Coturnix japonica: one gene and its partners. The protein of the gene in region 4 purifies or fractionates together with the protein of the main gene of each other region. This does not show direct contact. Links are inferred from orthologs where the notes say so. Each region holds a gene or a part of one and is shown on either strand. Other genes may lie near its edges.

Region 1 (4,171 bases), on a different chromosome or scaffold from region 4:
TTCACTCTATTAAGACCAAATTCACAACTTAGAGAATGCATATGCAATCACAAATGCAACTGCTTGGCAAATAATGCAAGCATAGCTCTACTACTAAGCGAACATCTTTTTGGTTACTACGCTTTACGTAATTATTAGTAAGAAATCCTAGATTTTTGAATAACACAGACCTATCAGTTTCTCAGATACCTGCTAGTAATCTCAGAGCGACAAAAAGAAACTTGGGATCAAAGAGCTGGATAGTGAATATCCAGCATTTTATTAGCCATACAAAAAAAAAAAAAACAAAAAGCAAACTTATTTTGATTCCTTTACCTTATCATTATGACCCTGAACATTTACAGAAAAGAACCAAGAAAAAAATCAGTAGTTTTCAAAAGACTGTTTTGAACTCTTCACATGGGAACGTGCTACTAGATTCTGCAAAGACAATTATTTTATAGAGCTAGAGGATGTAACAGGAATATCCAAGTTTTAGTTTTACCTAACATCTAATGCATTTACTGAACAAGCGTGCATAGAAAGACACTTCTCATAGCACATGTAATTAAGCAAAGCACAAGGGCAAGTGATAGAACTTGCATTTAATTTTGTTACAAATCTATTTAGTTCTCTTTTTAAATAAAGAAATATTTAGTTTAAATGTTGTACAAGGTTATATACTGCAACATGTAAGTGTTTCCAAAGATTATCAAGCTTGCATCCTTCCAAGTACCTTCCGGAAAGCTGTGCTCCTCTAAGTGTAAATCCACATGTTCCTCGAGAATTTGAATGTTTGTACAGGTAAGACCACATATTGGACATTCATAAAGCTGTTCAATGCTCTCTGTATCTGTAAAAGAAATACAGCTTCTTGCTTAATGCAATTCCTGTTTATTCTTTTCTGCTGTGTGTTTTTGTAAGAATCATCCCCCAGTAGCTCAAGAAAAACAAAGAGAATTGTGCTAGTACTGAAATTCCCCAGTGGAAGGCAACACATGTTAATAGCTATTGCTCTCTTAGCCATTTATGAATTCATATTTAAATACCTGAAAAGTTTGAAGATATATTTCCCCTCTTCCTATTCAGCAAAATTTTCCCAACTTAACTTACCACAGCTTGCTATAATATTTTTTATTAAGGAAGGCCTACAAAATGCCAATCAAATATCAAACCTTTAATGAAAAGATATGTCCTGCTGATGGAAGAACAGTTGCTTACGAAATCTTAAGTCTTGTATGACAATACAGCAGTCAGCAAGCAGAAAAGAAACTACAATGCTGTCATTTTTTATTAACCTTCCTTTGTTTCCTCAGCTATTTCTACTGCACTTTTAGTGTTACTACTAAGAGTAGCTAAGATTCAGAAGATCACCTGGAGATCACCAGGACCGTCAAGCCACGGTCACGTCAAACAGGCACAGGGCCTTTTCCAGTCACTTTCCTGAGGATGGAAACACCACAAAGTTCTCATTGCAGTGTTTGACAAGACTCACAGCAACAGCTTTCTTAAGTTTCAGTGGTAGTTCCTCATTTCACTTGCTGCCTGCAGTGCTGTCACTGCACACTACAAAGACAAACCCAACTTAACCTTCAGTGCCCTCTCTTTGAGTCATGTAGCTTCAGAATCCAACTCGTTTTGAGTTGGAAGGTGCCTTTAAAAGCTATCTAGTCAAACTGCCCTGTGAGGAACATAGACAACTACAACTCGATCAGGGTACTCAGCCATATCCAGCCTGACCTTGTGTGTCTCCAGGGATAGAGCTTCCACCACCTCTCTGGGCAACTCGTGCCAGTGCTTCACTGCCCTTATTGAAAAAACTTCCTAACACCTACAATAAATCCCTCCTCTTTTAGTTTGAAACCATTTCCCCGTCCTATCCCCACAGACCCCGTGGTGAGGAGACAGCTCCTTCCTTCTTACAGTTCTCCTTTCGATACTGAAAGGCCGCTCTCTGGTCTCTCCCCAGAATCTTTTGTTCTCCAGGCTGAACAGCCCCAGCTCTCTCAGCCTGTCCTTATAAGAGATGCGTTCCATTCCTTGGATCATTTTTGTGGCCCTCCTGATGCACTCCATCAGGTCCGTGTCTCTCCAGCAGAATATGAAGAATAACATCAGAACATACCTCGCCGTCACAGAATCACAGAATGACCCGGGTTGGAAGGGACCTCAAGGATCATGTAGTTCCAACCCCCCTGCCTGGCAGGGCCACCAAACATACACCTTTACTAGATCAGGTTGCCCAGGGCCCCGTCCAACCTGGCCTTGAACACCTCCAAGGACGGGGCATCCACAACTTCCCTGGGCAGCCTGTTCCAGGGCCTAACCACTCTCCTAGTGAAGAACTTCCCCCTAACATCCAACTTAAATCTTCGTCGATTACAGCGTCACATTCTGCATTCTTAACATCATTCCTTTTCCCTGCCAGCACAGCCAACGCGTTACACCGGCAATACCACGCCGTAGGGGAACCACCACCCACCTGCGCCGAGCAGCCGCCCGTGCCTGGCCCTGACGTGCTCCTCCAGCTGTCCCCCCGCCGCCTCCCCGCAGAATGGGCACCCGATCTCGGGGCTGCGGGCGCGGGGCTGTGGCTCCGTGTGTGCGGCCTCCACGTGCCGGCGCAGCTCCTCGTAGCCTGTGGCGGAGGCGCTGCAGAGCGGGCAGCGAGGCTGTTTGTCCGGGTGGGCGCGATTCGCGTGACGCCGCGCCGCCGCTTCTGAGGGCAGCAGCCGCCCGCAGATATTGCACACCGACATGGCGGCCCGACGCTCCGCTCGGAAGCCGCATCCCCTTGCCGGGGCGGCGGAGGCAACGCCCGCCTGTCGCCGCCGCGCGGGGCCTGCTGGGAGCGGCGAGGCCCGCCCGTGGGCAGTGCGGCGCGGGGCGGAGTGGCGGCGGCCATCTTGCGGTCCGGCTGGGGGCCGAGCGCCGCGGGCTCCTCTCGCCTTGGGGGCGGCGGGCGCGGCGCGTCCCGGCTGCGATGGGTAAGAGCCGGTGGGTCGGAGGGGACCCCGCGTTCAGTGCCCCGTGCTGCGTGACCGAGCTTCTGCCTGCCCGGGGGCGCTGGGCTATGGCGGGGCGTTGCCGCGCGCGGTGCTGGGACTGTCCCGCAGCAACGGGACGGAGCCCCTCAGTCAGGGGCTGCCTTCATCCCGCCGCCGGCAAGAGCGCTTCCCCGTCGTCTTTTCGAGGGGCGCAGGCGAGAAGCGTCGGTAGTTGAGCCCGGGGCCGGGTGTCCTCCGGCCGGGCATCTGGCTGGATCTGACGCGGCTTCCCGGCCCTCCGGGCACTGAGGGGTGGCGATGCTGCGGGGCACAACAGGTGGGCGGCATGCAGGATGTGGCTGCCGCAGGGATCAGTGTAACACAGGCATAGCTGGGCGTAGCAGAAATGTGGTCTGGATACAGTCGTGGTGGTTGAGTAGATAAAGCACCTCTTCGCTCTACCCTTCTGGTTCATGTTCCAAAGCTGTTGTGGGACAGGGGCCGAAGCTATGGTTTCGATAGCTTTTCTTTTTGAGGAGAGCTTCCTTTTGCTTGATCTCTTGCATAGAACTTGTGTAACTTTGATGTTACTTTTAATGCAGTCTTCTCATCTTTGGTTTCTTGCTTGGCCTGGCAGGTGTACTGGCCCAAATCATTCCTCAAGGCGTGTGTGATTAAGAAGGTGATGATGTTTGAGGACTAGTTAAGCCACAAGTGTTGCTAGACAGAATGCTCTTCTTTTTAAATTGCACTTTTGAAGTTCTGTGAATTAGAAGACAACTTCATACCGCATCTCATGCAGCTCTGTGCCCAGAAATGGCAACAGTCCGTAAAGGTTCTCATGAAGCAGTTGTGTTTGGGTGAAACAGGTTGTTGAGCCCTTAGAGTGTCCTGCTGGTGCCAGCCTAACAGCAGGGTCTGGTTGCTTCTTACAGCCTGTGTTTGTTACTCAGCAGGCCTTGATACTGCTGATATTAAACAAAATGTGAAAATAAATATCTCAGCACGGAAGTTGGCAAAGAACTGTGCCTGTGGGTCAGATTGCCTTATGCATGTTTTCTTGTTGTGAAAGAATTCTAAACAACTGAGTTTGCTTGAAGTCTCGAATCACAGTTTTGAAAGTTGCTTCTCTGAATGAAGGTGACAGTTTTAGCTTTGAATATTAGCACTGGGCTGTTCACAACCTTGTTCAGTCAGTTTTGATC
Region 2 (3,512 bases), on a different chromosome or scaffold from region 4:
CATGTAGATGTGCCCTGGACCCTAAACTTCACATCCCCTTGGGTAATGGAGAGACAGTACAGTCTTGTTAGTTTCACTGGATGCTGCCCACAGGTTTCTACTATCTCTCTGCTCTGTATATTTAAGTGACTTCTCATCTGAAGTGATGTTCTGAGAATCCCCTACTCTGTGGGCTGGAAAGAACTAGTACTAGGGAAGTTGAGGAGATGCTTATGAGCAAAGCTCTCTCAAGAGTGAAAGGCCACACTGCCAATACTGACCAATGCCATGTTTCTCCATGAGTGCAATGAGATCCGCTTCCGTGAGGAGCAATGGAGGGCTGGTTTCCCCATCCACCATCTCCACTGTAGTGGGCTGAAAGCGAGACCCTTTCTGATACAGTGGGATAACCTGAAGGGAAGGAGAATCTCTTTGAAACTGTCTTCTGGACCATCCACTGAAAACAGCTGTCACACTACCAGCAAGTTGGTGCAGTAATATAGCAGCACTCTGTTCTGGAGGAGACTGAGTCTTGGGATGCTCAGGATTAGCCAGTAAAAACCTGCCAGAGACACCACACAACAGCAACTGCAGCTCATCTTGGTGAGTATCCCTCCCCACGTGGAAGCAGCCCTGTATGGTCTCTGCTGCGGTGTCAGAAAGGGAAGAATCTATCCAAAGCTGGCATAATTAAGTGGCACTAGTGTTCAGCAGAGAGAGTTCTAAGTGAAATAGCCAGTGTGTTAAGAATTGTCAAAGGACATTCTCTAGATGGGCCTGAAAGTGGCAGGGAAGCTTTCCCATTAGTACAACCCATCTGCAGTTTTAAAGTCCAGGTATTTTAGGCAGTCCCATCTACACTGTTCAAGGATGTTACCTTGTCACTCCACTTCTCATAAGGATAAACCTCCAGATAATTTCGGGCCAGGATCATAAGTCCTTGAGCAATGAATCGCTCGTTAGCAATGTCAATCTCCACAGTTGTTTCCTGTCCCTTGGCATCTTGAGAGCAGCAAGCCAAAAAATGGCGCACAATGAATTCATATAGTCTCTGTTCGTTGCCCTGTTATCAAACAGTAAGAGTTACTCTCTTCTAGTATTAGCAAGATATTAAGAAATATTAGTGAATCTCAGGTGCGGATACTGTGCTAACAACTATATTATAGTATTTCTGTCTTTATTTTATCAAGCAATACTAAACTTACCTGCAGGTTAGCGGTGTATTTTGTGGGGTGAATGGGAGGGTGAGCCTGGTCTGATTTGGTTCCATTCCGAGGGTTCGGCCCACCCTGATCCAAGATCCTCTGTGCAAATGCTCCCCAGTTGGGGTCCTGTGTTTGTTGTTGTATTAAGGCAGAGAGGTTCAGCTCCTTGGGGAAAATGTTGGTCTCTGTTCGGGGATAGCTAATAAACCTTAAGAAAGACAGAAGGGAACTTCAAGAGGTGCTTGAGGATGATTTGGACTAACAGTCACATATTTTTGAAATAATTAAGTTTACCAAGACAAAGCTTGTTTCCTTACCCTTGAGTATAGAGTTTTTCTGCTATTCTCATGGTTTCCTTTGCATTTATTTTCAGTTTACGGGAAGCCAACTTTTCAAGTTCCTGTGTTGGGAAGAGACAGAAAAAAATGTATTTGTGAACTATTCTGAGTAAAATAACTGTTTAAAGCTTATTTTAATTAATCTTATAATATATAGTTCTAACATACCACAGTGTCCAGGGGCAGGGGTCTCCATTTGCTCTTTGGCTTGCTTCCAACCTCAACAACAGTGGCAACAGGATCCTAAATAGAGAGTAATCAAAATACAAGATTTCCTCGAAGATTTCACACAGACAGTTCTTTAAACATCTTGAACAAGAAGGATGCAGGACATGTTTGGCTGATATTAGATCATACGTCTTTTTTTACAAGTTTTCCTACCTCCATACACATGTGGTAAAGAACCAGGCACGCTGTGTGATTAAAGAGCCGGTTCCTCTTCCAGTTGAAGACCACATTGCCATCTTCGTGATCATGTGTCACTGTGTTGAAAACCAGATCAGAGTTATACAGTAGTAATATAGTTGAAAACCAGCAGAGGCAATGGGACCATGCTACTAGGAAACCTTTCCACTTTCTGCTTAATGATAATGGCAAGGGAAATCACTTCTGCAGCATTGTTTGTTAGTTGCCCTGAAGTTTTTCCTCTCCAAATACATTAAACCCTTTAAAATGGATTACTGCGCTTGTTTTCCTCCAGCATACCTTTGATTTTATAGAAGGCTTCAGGGACAAAGGCCTGGATGGCTTTAAAGCGCTCAACTACGAACCCCAGAGTTGGGAACTGGCAACTGCCGTAACTGATCAGCTGATCTGCTAAAACCTCAGGGAAAATCTTCCGGAGCCTCAGGGTCTGGAATCTGGTGAAAGCAGCACCTGAGAAAACAAAATGGATGCTAGAACTGAATAGTTCAGCATTAATTAATTAATTAATTAATCAGCATCAGCTGATTAATCATAGGTTCAGGCTGTGATTACCAATTTCCCATACACTGAGAAGTGAGGAAGTCTGATAGCTAGCTGTCTAGTTTCTAAAGCAATCTAAGAGTTCAAGTGTTTATAGAAAATAAGCTACATGTTGATGACAGACTGTAAGCTGTCTGTCCCCTGCCTTTTTACCACACTCTTGCTCACTTGCTTTCAAGGGTATATGCAGCAGCTCAGGCCTAGCAACCAGCTCTCATCTCCAAAGCATGTTTACTTACCTATCCTGAGGTCCAGCTCCTGCCTGACTTCAACAGCATCACTAGTTTTTTGATCTGGTTGGGTGAGATTCTCACAGGCCCTTCTGACAGCATGAAGTGTAATCTCTGAAAAACGTGCTCGGAATACCTGGAGGTTTGGCTTTACTATCAGACAAAAAAAATAATAACCAGAATGACTCATACAGCAATGGAAAGCATGAACTAATATACTGCTGCTGTCTTTAAAAGTGTGTGCTGTCAACATATTTTGTATCTTTCCAATGTATTAATGTATTTCTGGTGTATCAGAGCCATGTATTTATCGTAACTACAGCCAGAAGATTTGACCTGGACATGTAAGAATGACAACTGAGTAAGGATGATATCTGTTACTAGATCTGAGCAGTGATACCTGTTAAATCATCATTTTAATGGAAAACAGATTGATGCAACAGATGCTCTACACACCAGCTTTGCAGACATGAATGATCTCAAAACCGATGTTCTCTCCTTCTCGATCGCAGTCAGTCCAGATGACCAGAGCTTGGCATTGCTGGACCTCTCGTTCAAGGGTTCTCTGAGACAGAAAAAACTCTGAATGAGACCTACTCAAGCCACTTGGTCTGACATTTAGTTTTAGAATGACTCACTAACTGAACACGAAATGCAACATGTATCCATAGCAATGAATTGTTGCAATAACATTTTGCAATGGTAACTCTCGGGAGATTAGACAGCTTTCAAAAGAAATGAATCATTTATTTACTCTCTGTTAAAAAGCACTGCTTGGGTTGGATTGTACCACA
Region 3 (3,967 bases), on a different chromosome or scaffold from region 4:
AAGATGAGACAGAAACCAAACAAACCAGAAATAGGATTCTTTTTCTAGTTGGGGAGCGTGCCCACTTATCACCTTTTAAACTCATCCCTAACAGCCCTAAACACAGAATTTTCACTTTGCTTGGAGATTACAAAAATCTACAGAGGAAAAAAGATGATAAATGTCAGTTTGCATTTCTTTACAAAAGTTTCTGCAGCAACTGTCACCTAATTAGGCAGTCCTCAAATCAAAGGTGAAACGCAGAAGAGAGTGCAAGCTCCACTGAGCTAAATGCTGGCTGGGACTGCTGAGAGCCAGATCTGCTGCAGGAAGCACCAACAGGAATCTGGCAGAGCAAGGTAACGTGCTCCAGTCAACAACAACGCTGCCAACAGAAGAACTGAGAAGGGCGGGTTCATTTAACAAAAAGCAAAGACATCATCAGATGAAATCAAAGAGTCATTAGTGAGCTTAAGAGGTTTTTGAGGTGCTCGGAATTTGACCACAGTCACACACCTGGACCAAGCCAGGTTCTACAAGCCAGGCATCGAGGCAGTCTTAAACCAGTATGAGAACTGGTAAGGGCACAGCTCAAACACAGCTTCACTTCTGCTTTACCTGGCACTGACTGTCCTCTGGGAACCACCGACTCTTGGCTGCCTGCGAGCCCTTCGTACTCGCAGACGCAGCACAACCTGAGGCCCAGGCAGCAGCTGGTGCTGGTCAGACGCCCCCTGCAGCCTCAGCAGTCCGATGAGAGCTGAGGGAGGATTCGCCTGCTGGTCAGGATCAGCAGCTGCTTCCCTTGCGGCATCAGCAGTCGATACGACAACAACTTCATCGTCAGAAAGAACGATAGGGCTGCCTCCTCCGCTGCTGAGCGCTGCAACCTGAGAGGACAGTGCCGTGTGAGCAGCGGGCTCTGCAGAAAGCGTCCCCTGGTTCTCTAGGGAGTAGTTCACCACTGGTTGGAGATCAACTTCCATCTCTTCCTGAGCCATTTCTGTCAAAAACAAAAGAAAGCTATGAGCATTCACAAGCCTGCGCCCCACTAGTGGCCTGATGGCAGCAGAAACTGGCTGCAGCACTCAAAAGCCTTCAACATTCAGACTAGAGACAAGTTGCCATTTTGCCTTTGACATACAGCACAGAGAGACTGTCTCAAGTAGATACATGTATGTGAGCTGGCACCTTCCTGAGTTCTTTGTCTGAAGCCTTTAGCTCAGCAGTAGCTGGCACCAAAGACACACTGCAAATCCTGTTAGGTAAACCTTTGGATGAGCATGGAAAGTTCAGTAATTCTTGTTCTATTACTTTCCAGTAAATGCCTTTGGATCTTGGAGGAAAGTTTGAAGATATCTTAGAAATTCTCCATGGCAAAACCACTGCAGAAACAGTGACAAATACAAATAGAAATGAGCTCTGTAGAGCATCCAATCCTTTGCAGGCAGGCAGTCTTGCAACACAGAAAAGCTTAGATTATTTCATGAACTAAACAAATCAAAGCAAACAATTTGGGGGAGGAGAGAGCAGATTAAGTTCTGCAATCTGCTGCTGATCATTTGCCTCCCACGTGTTTTGGCAATCACAAATCTGAAAGGCTTTGGCTTTGGGGACAGCAGACCTTCAACATTATTTGAGAGCCCAAAGTGCGCACCAAAACTTCTCAAGGTAGGCGCTGTGTGAACAAACAAGGGTGTTTTGCTACAAAGAATAACCAGAGAACGTACACAAGATCCACAAGAGGTGGTTATACTAACAACTTTTGATATATCTTTTAACAAACTCTTACTAATCACTTTATAACACTACTTTAATTACCATTAGAATCACTAAAGTTAGAACAGACTTCTCAGACATCCAAGTCCCACTGCACCCCCCCCATGCCCATGTCCCTTAGTGCCACAACCCCACCGCTCCAGGGATGGCGATTCCCCCCTTCTCTTGGCAGCTGTGCCACTGCCTCAGTGCTCCTTGGGAAAAGAGGATTTCCTCATAACCAATATTTCAGCTTAAACTAGGCCAGAAAGGACACCAAGCCCCATCTCCCATCTGACCAGTCACAGATAGAGTTAAGGCAGTCCTGCTGCACTGAACTCAGGTTTGTGTTAAGGCTGCCACATGCAAACCCTTATTTTCCTCACACTGGAAGCCCTAAAGCACGGATAGCAAACCCCAAGTATTTCTTCGGGAAGATGTTAACGTTGACATTTTCACCGTGACACTTTGGTGCCTTCCTGGAAGGGCAAAAGTCAGCGGCTCCCCCGAGAGCCGCGTGCACGGCACCGCCCGTCCGTGCGTGTGGGGGGCGGGCAGAAGGTCTCGAGGTCCGAGGGATCGGGGCAGCAGCAGCGCTGGAGCAGCAGCTTCCCCTGGCGGACGGACAGGACTCCGAGAGCAGCACAGCTCCGCACCTCCATCCGGCTGCTGCACCTGTATGGGGGGAGCAACAGAACCCAAAGAAACCATCGGTACGTGGCCAGACTCGGAGCAAGCGGAGCCGTGCTGGGGGGTTAAGGAGGTTCCTCCCACAGGGATCCAACATGGGCCGCTACCCACACAGCGCAGCGCTGTGCCCAGCCGGGCCTTCCATGGCAGCCCCAGGCCGAGCCCCGGGGGAGCCGCTCCGCGCTGCACCCGCCGCCCCCCGGCCTCCCCCCGCACCGTCCCGGCAGCTCCCGCAGGGCTCGGTACGGGCGGCAGCTCCGCCGCGGTCAACGGAACCACGAGAAGGGAAGAGAGAGACGAGGACCGGACCGGACCGGACCGGACCCACCTCACCGCGGCCCACAGCTGCCGCCCGCCAGCGCCGCTCGAGCAGCGCGCCGCCCCGCCCCCTCAGCCCTATTGGCCCGACGCTCCCACTGCTGACGCTTCTATTGGGTGAGCCGAAAGCTATGGGGATTTTCATTGGCCGAGCGCTCAGTCAGTCTGCCCCAGAGAACGGACTGGGGAGGAGGAGACTGAACGGACTTGAGAGTGAAGTGAGGCGTGCTCTGATTGGTCAGTCGAGATAGAGCTGCCCGTCTGATTGGACGGTGAGATCCTCGAGGGACGGAAAGGGCGGGGACCAAGAGACAGGAAGTGCGTTTTGATTGGGGGAGGCGCCGCCGGGACGAAGTAAGCGGGAGCGGGAGGGGATTCAAATCGGGGTTGCTGTGGCAACGGGGCCTAGAGGCCTTTAGGCCTCACCCGCGGGCCTCGAAGGACGCGAAGCAGCCGCTACTCAGAGATCTTCCAGTCTTAGTTAAACAAATAAACATATATTTAAACATATATTTAAGGCAGGGAGGCCAGTCTGGGCGGCCTGCTGAGGCTCTCTGCAGCTAGATGCCCTGATACCTCCTCTTCTCCAGGTCAGCCAGCAGGTCCACGATCTCTGTGGAAGGTAAGGTCAGTGTTAGCCTGAACAGAGCAGAGCAGGCTGTGTGGTGAGGATAAACGCTGTTGTGTGAATGGTCTCTATGAGGAGACAGAAGGAAACCAGCTCTTAGGAGGCCTGGCGGTGTCAGCAGGACAAGGGGGGATCCAAAGAGACAAAACTGGGCAAAATCCGATGGCAAACAAGGCACAGATTCACCACGGAGGTGTCTGACATGTGGGGAATGCCTTCAGGACACTCACGCTCAGCAGACGGGCGCTGGAACGGATCGAAGGCCCGACACTGGTTGATGATTTTCTCCATCTCTTCAGGACAATCTTCCCCGACTGGGTCCTGGAACTGCCGGTCACAGATTTTGTCCCTGATCTCCTGGAGAGAGCAGCCTAAATGGAACACGGACATTAGAAGATATGGAACCCACCAAAGCCATCCCGCAGCCTCCTCCATGGAGGAGCCAGCAGAGGGGCCACGCAAGCTATGTCTGTAATAAACTGCCCCGTCTTTGCTGTGACACCACTAGGCCTCATCGAAACAGGATGCCTTAATGCTTCACTGCATGGGAACAACAAATAGAGACAACCTTTCTTGCATTCTTGTGGTTTAACC
Region 4 (3,688 bases):
GTGAACCAGGCCTGGCCAGGCTGCTGGTAACAATCAAAACACTGAAGAAACCAGCAGATAAAACAGAAAGCCAGGCTTTCACCAGATGCAATACCTAATTGCCTGAAATCACAGAATCACAGAATTGTAGGGGTTGGAAGGGACCTCTAGAGATCATCGAGTCCAACCCCCCTGCCAAAGCAGGCTCCCTACACCACATCACACAGGTAGGCATCCAGGCAGGTCTTAAATATCTCCATAGAAGGAGACTCCACCACCTCCCTGGGCAGCCTGTTCCAGTGCTCCGTCACCCTCACTGGAAAGAAGTTCTTCCACACATTTGTGCGGAACTTCCTATGCTGTACTTTCATCCCATTACCCCTAGTCCTGTCCCCATGCACTACTGAAAAGAGACCAGCCTCACCACTATGGCTCCCACACCTCAGGTATTTATAAACCTGGATCAAGTCCCCTCTCAGCCTTCTTTTCTCAAGGCTAAATAGACCCAGTTCCCTAAGTCTCTCCTCACAGGGGAGATACTCCAGGCCCTTCACCATCTCAGTGGCCCTCCGCTGGACTCTTTCCAAGAGATCCCCGTCTTTTTTGTACTGGGGAGCCCACTTCTTTCTCTGCAAACCCTCACAGCAAACCTGCAGTGGCAACCAAGCATGACAGAGATGTGACGCTACTGACAACAGGGCACGGCATCACGGTGACGCTCCAACCAGACACAACAGCCCCAGGAGCGGCGCTTTGCAGCGGGCTGCTGCACCTTCATGCCACGTTTCCTTTGCAGCTCTGAAGAGACGCTGATGCGACAAGGATCAAATGAAGAGCTGAGAGATGAGCGGCAGAGCGACCCTGAGGGGATGACAGCGCTGGGGACAGCGGGATGGGAAAGGAAATGAGAAGGACGTGGAAGAGCCGCAGAGCTGCCCTGCCGGCTTCCCCGGGGCTCGGCCACCTCCCACCGGCCTCTCCACAACCTGCACAACCCCGGCCCTCCCTCATTCCCCCGTTACCCACCAGCCACCGCCGCCCGCCGCTTCCGGCTCCGTGAGACGACACCGCCGCCACCCCGGGCTTCGAGAGCCGCCCGCGGCGCGCTGCCATGACGCCATAGCAAAGCGCCGAGCTGATTGGCGATCCCCGTTGCCAGGGATAACGGGAGGCGGCGGGGCGCAGCGCGGGAAGGAGCGGCCGCCATGGGCGATGTGCACGAGGCGCCGCGGCCGCGCATCGGGGCCGCTCAGCTGGCGCAGCACATCGGGCGGCCCGTGTGCTTCGTGGGCCGCGTCGAGAAGGTCCGTACCCAGCCCCGCACCACCCCGCACCGGGCGGTCCCAACACTGCGGCCTTGCCCTGGGCTGGCTGCAGTCTCCCTGCGGGCCCGTCCGCCCGCTCGTCTTTCGGCCGCTGCTGAGCGCACGGCGTCGTTTCTCTTGTAGATTCACCCGACGGGGAAACTCATCGTTCTGTCGGATGGAGAAGGCTGCAACGCCACGGTGGAGCTGAGCGAACCCGTAAGTAACCCCGGTGTGTCGTTGGGAAGGTTTGGCTGCAGTGCAGGCAGGTTTCGTTCCCCCACACCAGATACATCTCTGTTTGGATACCTCGGCTTACTCTGTTCATTGCTTGTAGCGTGCTGTGTTTCACTGCATGTCTTGCCTTACTTTTCCTTTCACTTTCTTCCTTCACCTCTTTACTGACCCTTTTCCTGCCCCTAACAGAATGCTTCACAGAATCATAGAATGGCCTGGGTTGAAAAGATCACAGTAATCATCTATTTCCAACCCCCTGCTATGTGCCAACCACCAGACCAGGCTGCCCAGAGCCACATCCAGCCTGGCCTTGAATGCCTCCAGGGATGGGGCATCCATAACCTCCTTGGGCAACCTGTTCCAGCGCATCACCCTCTAAGCACTCTAAGCATCCTGTACTTTCTGAGAATAAGCAAAAAAATTAGTTTGAGTGTTCGCAGTGGAAACAGCAGCTAATTTGCTGGTGCTAATTTCATTTCTGGTGTGTCCTGCAGCTGGATGAAGAGATCTCAGGAATTCTGGAAGTGGTGGGAAGAGTAACAAATCAGGCAACCATCATGTGCATGTCATACGTCCAGTTCAGGGAAGATAAAAGTCCATTTGGTAAGTAAGGGTATATGTTATGGCAAATTAATTTTGTGTTCTGAACATTTATTTAGTAAATAAGGAGAGCATTATCCCTTCCTGTGGACATGATCATTCTTCAAGCTGCCTAATACAGCGTGGGGTATATAAAGAGACAACGGCATCAGGAAAAATTACATACTCAATACACTTTTTTACTGCCAAACTGTAGGGGCTGATTCAAGGCCTTAGCTGATCTAGATCATTGCCGTAAGTCTGATTGTTGTCCCAGTTACACAGTTCTTTGTCCTTCTTGTCTGGTGCTGGACTTTGTGTGATTGTCCAGTTAGCAGGCCTAAAAATAATCCCTCAGAAAGAAAGCAATGAGAATATGGCAGGCTTGGGAAACTGGGAACATAGGGGAAGGAGAACACTCAGCTGTATTGCTTTGAAATTGGCTGTGCTTTAATGCTGCAATTTACTAGTAAGAAATTTAAGTTAAGCTTCTTCTATTTTTGTCCCCTTTCAGATCTGGAAATCTACAGTGAAGCACTGAAAATTATTCATGAATTCCCTGAGTATTTCCCCTTCGGTACTGGGAGGAATTGATTCTTCTTAGAGCTTCAGTTGTGCAGTATTACCTTGGCTGTCTTGCCTGACAGCATGGTAAGAGTTACATTAGTTTCCAACAAATATACTAAGAAGATGCTACTACACGTGCCACGTGTGGCCAATGAAATATCTTTTCTTACTAACTTCTGTTTGAATTAGCTTAGCAAGAAGCAGAACATTTCTGTGGCTGTCTTACTGTCTGTATATATTTAACCCTTCTGCATTCATGAGGAATGCTCTCTTGCAGGATTTGATTTGCTAGAAATTGAAGTTTTATAGGCATCTTTTCCATTGTCCACAGAGGTCCTATGGATACTTAACACAAAATTCATACTGAAGATATTTGGTGGGGTTTTAATGTAAAGATATTTTAAAATTTCTTTTGCTTTGATATAAATTGAACGTGGAGGGGGAAAGATTTGTTTTGTATCTTGATAATGGTCACTTCTCCAATAAAGAAAAAGCTATGACTACGTTCAACTACTTGTGGTAGTATTGTATCTACCAAGTGCTATTTATAATGATTCATGATGATTCCTGTTCCATTTTACTTAAGTAATTTAATTTTAACGAAGTGGAGCACAAGGTACTTGCCTTTTGCACTGATGTTAAACAGTTGAGAGATGTAAGTGTCTGATTAGGCTTGGTAACTCAATCACACATAAAGCCCGCATCACAACCTTCGTTCGTGGTGGATGTTAAGGCAGAAGTACCAGGACAAGAAGGTCCCTATGGCATGATAGCATACTCTGTTCCATAGTACTATCGCTGCTGTGTTTTAGTGTCACTGCCAACAACTACGTGCTTGTTTTATTGGAATTTAACTCTTCAGAATTACTCTACCATACCAAAAAAATCTATTTTGTGCATGTATATACATTCTATAAAACATCATATGCAAGTAGTTCTTATTAAGTTTATCTGAGCCCAATAAAATGGATTCTACCACTAGATGGCTGTAGCACTTCACCCTGACACAGAGACCATCCTTG
Region 5 (4,060 bases), on a different chromosome or scaffold from region 4:
TGGCTCGTTCACCTGTCATCCCTCAATCTTTGCAGAACAAAATGACAGTACAGAAAAAGATAAAAACCATCCTTGGTAGTTCACTTTCAGCCTCACTCAGAGCTTTAGAAAATTAGACTTTTTCCTTTCCCGACACCCAAAATTAATAGGAAAAACAGTAAAGAAAAGTTTAAAAAGAACGTACTTCAACAGATCTATAAATCAAGTATTAGCCAATAACCAGTCGTCAATACAGAATCCGCTATAATCAGGCTTGTTGATTCCTAAGCAATTCAGCAACTGCAGAAAAAGTTAAATCTAAGCCAGGCATTTAGATTGCATCAAAAAAATCGTATTTCTAATATACTACAAAATGTCAAAAAATAATATGAGCCAGAAGCCTAAAAGGTGGGCATTATGTTTGAGTAGCACCATCTTTTTTTATTACTCCAGACAATAACGAAGTAAAATCACAGAGAAAGGTTACAGTGGTGATCTTAAGTCTTAAGTGCCTTTCTTATCACTCAGCAATCCATTTACTTACTGAAACTGCTGTAATGTTCCAGGCTGAAACTCCATTTTTTCGTAGTAGGATCTAAAATAGGGCAGAATATGAGTTATATGGGGTAGAAAAAAGTGGTGCTGTTAAACATTTATGCCATTTTATACATGCAGATTTCTCGATAGAGATCTGAAAGACAGAATGCTCAGGCTTACAGCTACATGGCACCAAATAAAGCCATAGGGCACATTAATGCTAAGGCAATGAGGATGGAACAGTCATTCACAGGGAGCATCAATATATGTGGGGAAACAAAAAGAGAATACAAGAAATAAAGGCATGGAAAGAAGATCAGCAACTTGCAAACTCCACTACTTGCAATAACACAGTTAATACTCAGCCCGTCAACTCGGAAGTGGCCTATTTTCCCATACTTATTCAGTAATAACTTCCTTCATTCCCAAAACACTGACCAGCTCCCAACACTAAACTTCTTCAAGCACTGTTCATATAACTCCTGATTTCTTGGCTAAATCCAAAATCAAAATTTTATGCTCAGAATTTCTTTTCAATTTCAGCTGCCTTGACTTTTCCAGCACTCCATTAATACCATCCTATATATTTGATCCCAACATTAACTCCCCCGCTAAAAGCATAATGCTTCTACAATTCCAGCATATACTGAAACTACAATCAAACAGAGCACAGAGAAAACAGCTATCAATCAATTCTTACCATAGCTTCTGGTTGGTATTGTCTTAAACAAAGCAACCAGGTCAGCATTATACCCTATTTCAACCTGGAAACGGTCTTCCCCGTATTTCACACATTTTCCTTTTGTAACGTTATTTGCTTTCTTGCAAGAGGCAGCTTTGATAGAGTCTGCAACAGCAGGGCTGGTCAGCTTCTGCATCTTACCACTGGCCCGAAAGGCACCACTTCCACCTTGTCTGTCTGTTGATCTGTTTGTATTTATCACCATTTCTGAAGCACTCAGAGTGGCGCTGCTTGGTGATGAAACAACTTTAATACCATCAGCGTTACAGTTACCAGTTAAATTAGGGAGAGATGTTCCTGTAGGGTTTTTGGAAGCTGGGTAGCACTTGGGCTGTTGGAATGTACCAGGATTAATTAAAGCTTGTTGTCCATGTTGTCCATCTGAGTAACGTTGATGGGAATAACTCAGAGAATTTGGGATCGGTGTAGGGAACTGCTTATTGCCACTTGTTTGCTTTGAGTCCTCTGAACAATTCTTTTGTTGCTCTCCCTGTGAACCAGCCATCTGTTGGTTCGCAGTGTAATGATTATAATCTTTCCGAAGATAGCTCTTCTGCTCCACAGGACTGTCTGGATTCTGTTGGGGCAGGCTAATGAACCTGACATGATTGTTTTCTTGCTTCAAGCTTCCTCGATTGTCTGGATTCTGTTCTTTTACCCGAGGCCCATTGATCCCCAGCTGCCCACCCCGCTGGGCTGCTAGCCTCTCAGCTCTCCTAGCCAAAGCCTTCTGGCGGTTCTCTTCAATTCTTCTCTTTTGCTCCTCCGTAAGGCCAGATGACATCTTCACCAGTTCAAAACAAACCTGAGTCAGTACATCAGTTATTTCATCTCAGAAGCACCCGTTTCTTGGTAGGAACGGAGGGCAGCCTAAAAAATAAAGCAGCAGGAAGTTTCAAATTTGCCCCCAGCAACAAGCTCAACGTACTGACAACACATTACTATCAGTCATCGATTCCTAACAACTTTTCAGTCCTCAGGCATCTCACAGCACATAAGAGACACACACAGAGGTGAGTGTCAGCTCCTCCCTAGAGAAAGCCCCTCTCACTGCTGTGCTTGTTTAGAGCTTACAGAAAACAAGCAGCTGGCCCCCACCACACCTCCCTTCTCCACCTGCTCCTTGGCCTCACGTGTGAGAGGCTGCCCACCTCCTCCAACACTCAGAGATGCACTAAACTAACCGTACAAAGCCAGGCTCGCTCCTCTCGTCCCCACCCCCCTCCCAGAGGTTACGTTCCATCCCTGCCCCAACCCTACGGGATAGGGAACTTCAAGGCCCACGAGCCACCCCACACCCAACACACTTCCTACCCCCGCTGCCCACAGAGGCACCACGCCGCCGACCAGGCCCCCACGCCCTACCACTGCCCCGCTGCAACCCGCTATGGGCTCAGCCCTCACCGACCCTCCCCAAACCCCCGCGTACCCACCAGCGGGCAGAGGCCAGCCCGGCCGCCACAAGGCGCGCAACACCGCAGACTACAATACCCATCAGCCCCCGCTCTGCCGCCCGATGACGCCAAGCTGTCTGAGAGGCGCGCGGCGCACTGGGAAATTGAGTCTTCCCCGCGCGGCGCCATTTTAGGGACTCTAAGGGAATCGGGGCGGGTGGGGGCGGAAGTAGATTCAGCTGTGAGGCTTCCATTGTAAGCTATGGCGTTTCCGTTGTAAGCTATGGGGCTTCCATTGTAAGCTGTGGGCTGAGGTTTTGTCCTCTGGTGCTCAGTTACAAACAGTAGTAATGCATTATGAAAAGCTATGCTGCTGCCTTCATAATACTGTAATTATTCACGTTTTTATTAAAGTTCTGGAAAAAAAAAAAGCGCTTCCATTAGTTGTAATTATACACATCAAGTTGATCTTCCTGGACAGCTGGGATTCACCTTTACTTTATGTTGGCAGGGCAGTACTAGGGGATAAAGGCAAAGAAACAGCCCTGGGGAGCCCCATTTCCTTATCCCTATCTCATACTGTGACCATCCTGTCCAGTGGCAGCTCTGGAGCCATCTGCCCCATCCCCAAATGCCATTTTCTATCACAGGCCCCTCAGCTGGGGGTGGTGCAGCCAGCTGGTTGTTTTGCAGTTTATTTATTCATCCTCTCTGCTGGTTAATTAAAAAAGGTTATCCTTAAATTGCTTCTTGATTAAGCAGCGGTGACTGTCATTAGTCAGGAGCTCGTCAGCTTGAGAAAAACAAGGCAGGCAGTGAAAGCAAGGTGTGACCTGACATGCAGCCCTATGAGCACCCATAGGACTGTCCCCAACTCATGTGAACAATTAGAGAGTTGTTTTGCAGAGAGGAGAAGAGCTCTTGGGTCTCACGGTCAGGCAGACACCCAGACAGACGTTGAAGCACTTGCTCCATATGGCACAACTTCAGCAAGGCACAAAGAACAGACCAACCATGCAGGGAACAGAGCTACAAAGCAAGAGGCCATTTGTGAGCAGTTTGCTGGTAGCACTCCAGGTGTCCTTTCAGTCTGAACATACTTCCAGCAGTGGCTTGGACTTACCCTCTACACACCAAATCAGAGTACAGAGATGCAGTAAGAAAATCCTGGGAGGGTCGGTGGGTCAGCACACCCCAGTTGATATCTCATGTTGAATGCGTCCACTTCACCTCTTTTCCAACACACTGTCACAGTTCCCTGCGTGAGTAGAGCCGTACATCTGCATCCTGCAGTGTCTATGGATCTTGGTGAACCACGTGCAGAGTCACTATGTGCATCAAGACCATCCAGGAGATGATTGGAAATGCAAGCCTCAGCCCACACTGATGGCCCTTGGATGCTCCACCT

Evidence for each region.
Region 1: the proteins of RPA3 (region 4) and ZUP1 purify together in Homo sapiens (affinity purification with western blotting; 3 studies listed by BioGRID, with this or other methods). This does not show direct contact. The link is inferred for Coturnix japonica from reciprocal best matches to the Homo sapiens genes RPA3 and ZUP1.
Region 2: the proteins of RPA3 (region 4) and TOP3A purify together in Homo sapiens (affinity purification with mass spectrometry; 3 studies listed by BioGRID and IntAct, with this or other methods). This does not show direct contact. The link is inferred for Coturnix japonica from reciprocal best matches to the Homo sapiens genes RPA3 and TOP3A.
Region 3: the proteins of RPA3 (region 4) and RFWD3 purify together in Homo sapiens (affinity purification with mass spectrometry; 5 studies listed by BioGRID and IntAct, with this or other methods). This does not show direct contact. The link is inferred for Coturnix japonica from reciprocal best matches to the Homo sapiens genes RPA3 and RFWD3.
Region 5: the proteins of RPA3 (region 4) and SMARCAL1 purify together in Homo sapiens (affinity purification with mass spectrometry; 3 studies listed by BioGRID and IntAct, with this or other methods). This does not show direct contact. The link is inferred for Coturnix japonica from reciprocal best matches to the Homo sapiens genes RPA3 and SMARCAL1.

What each region holds. Positions count from the first base shown.
Region 1 is NC_029518.1:57,985,315-57,989,485, reverse strand, and holds the start of ZUP1 (zinc finger-containing ubiquitin peptidase 1), read right to left. Parts: upstream 2,811-4,171; 5' UTR 2,739-2,810; coding exon 2,462-2,738; intron 833-2,461; coding exon 716-832; intron 1-715. Other genes in the region: KPNA5 (importin subunit alpha-6), read left to right, coding at 2,963-2,966. UniProt on the Homo sapiens protein: Deubiquitinase with endodeubiquitinase activity that specifically interacts with and cleaves 'Lys-63'-linked long polyubiquitin chains. Shows only weak activity against 'Lys-11' and 'Lys-48'-linked chains.
Region 2 is NC_029529.1:5,110,322-5,113,833, forward strand, and holds part of TOP3A (DNA topoisomerase 3-alpha), read right to left. Parts: intron 3,284-3,512; coding exon 3,175-3,283; intron 2,872-3,174; coding exon 2,728-2,871; intron 2,399-2,727; coding exon 2,228-2,398; intron 2,005-2,227; coding exon 1,904-2,004; intron 1,766-1,903; coding exon 1,691-1,765; intron 1,585-1,690; coding exon 1,502-1,584; intron 1,393-1,501; coding exon 1,185-1,392; intron 1,043-1,184; coding exon 857-1,042; intron 391-856; coding exon 261-390; intron 1-260. UniProt on the Homo sapiens protein: Releases the supercoiling and torsional tension of DNA introduced during the DNA replication and transcription by transiently cleaving and rejoining one strand of the DNA duplex.
Region 3 is NC_029526.1:771,270-775,236, reverse strand, and holds the start of RFWD3 (E3 ubiquitin-protein ligase RFWD3), read right to left. Parts: upstream 2,811-3,967; 5' UTR 2,756-2,810; intron 2,413-2,755; 5' UTR 2,191-2,412; coding exon 2,154-2,190; intron 983-2,153; coding exon 598-982; intron 1-597. Other genes in the region: MLKL (mixed lineage kinase domain-like protein), read right to left, coding at 3,488-3,744. UniProt on the Homo sapiens protein: E3 ubiquitin-protein ligase required for the repair of DNA interstrand cross-links (ICL) in response to DNA damage. Plays a key role in RPA-mediated DNA damage signaling and repair.
Region 4 is NC_029517.1:22,630,124-22,633,811, reverse strand, and holds RPA3 (replication protein A 14 kDa subunit), read left to right. Parts: upstream 1-1,144; 5' UTR 1,145-1,184; coding exon 1,185-1,283; intron 1,284-1,427; coding exon 1,428-1,502; intron 1,503-2,014; coding exon 2,015-2,123; intron 2,124-2,613; coding exon 2,614-2,693; 3' UTR 2,694-3,176; downstream 3,177-3,688. UniProt on the Homo sapiens protein: As part of the heterotrimeric replication protein A complex (RPA/RP-A), binds and stabilizes single-stranded DNA intermediates that form during DNA replication or upon DNA stress.
Region 5 is NC_029522.1:23,407,826-23,411,885, reverse strand, and holds the start of SMARCAL1 (SWI/SNF-related matrix-associated actin-dependent regulator of chromatin subfamily A-like protein 1), read right to left. Parts: upstream 2,806-4,060; 5' UTR 2,692-2,805; exon of another isoform or gene 2,688-2,691; intron 2,129-2,687; 5' UTR 2,043-2,128; coding exon 1,217-2,042; intron 575-1,216; coding exon 524-574; intron 1-523. UniProt on the Homo sapiens protein: ATP-dependent annealing helicase that binds selectively to fork DNA relative to ssDNA or dsDNA and catalyzes the rewinding of the stably unwound DNA. Rewinds single-stranded DNA bubbles that are stably bound by replication protein A (RPA).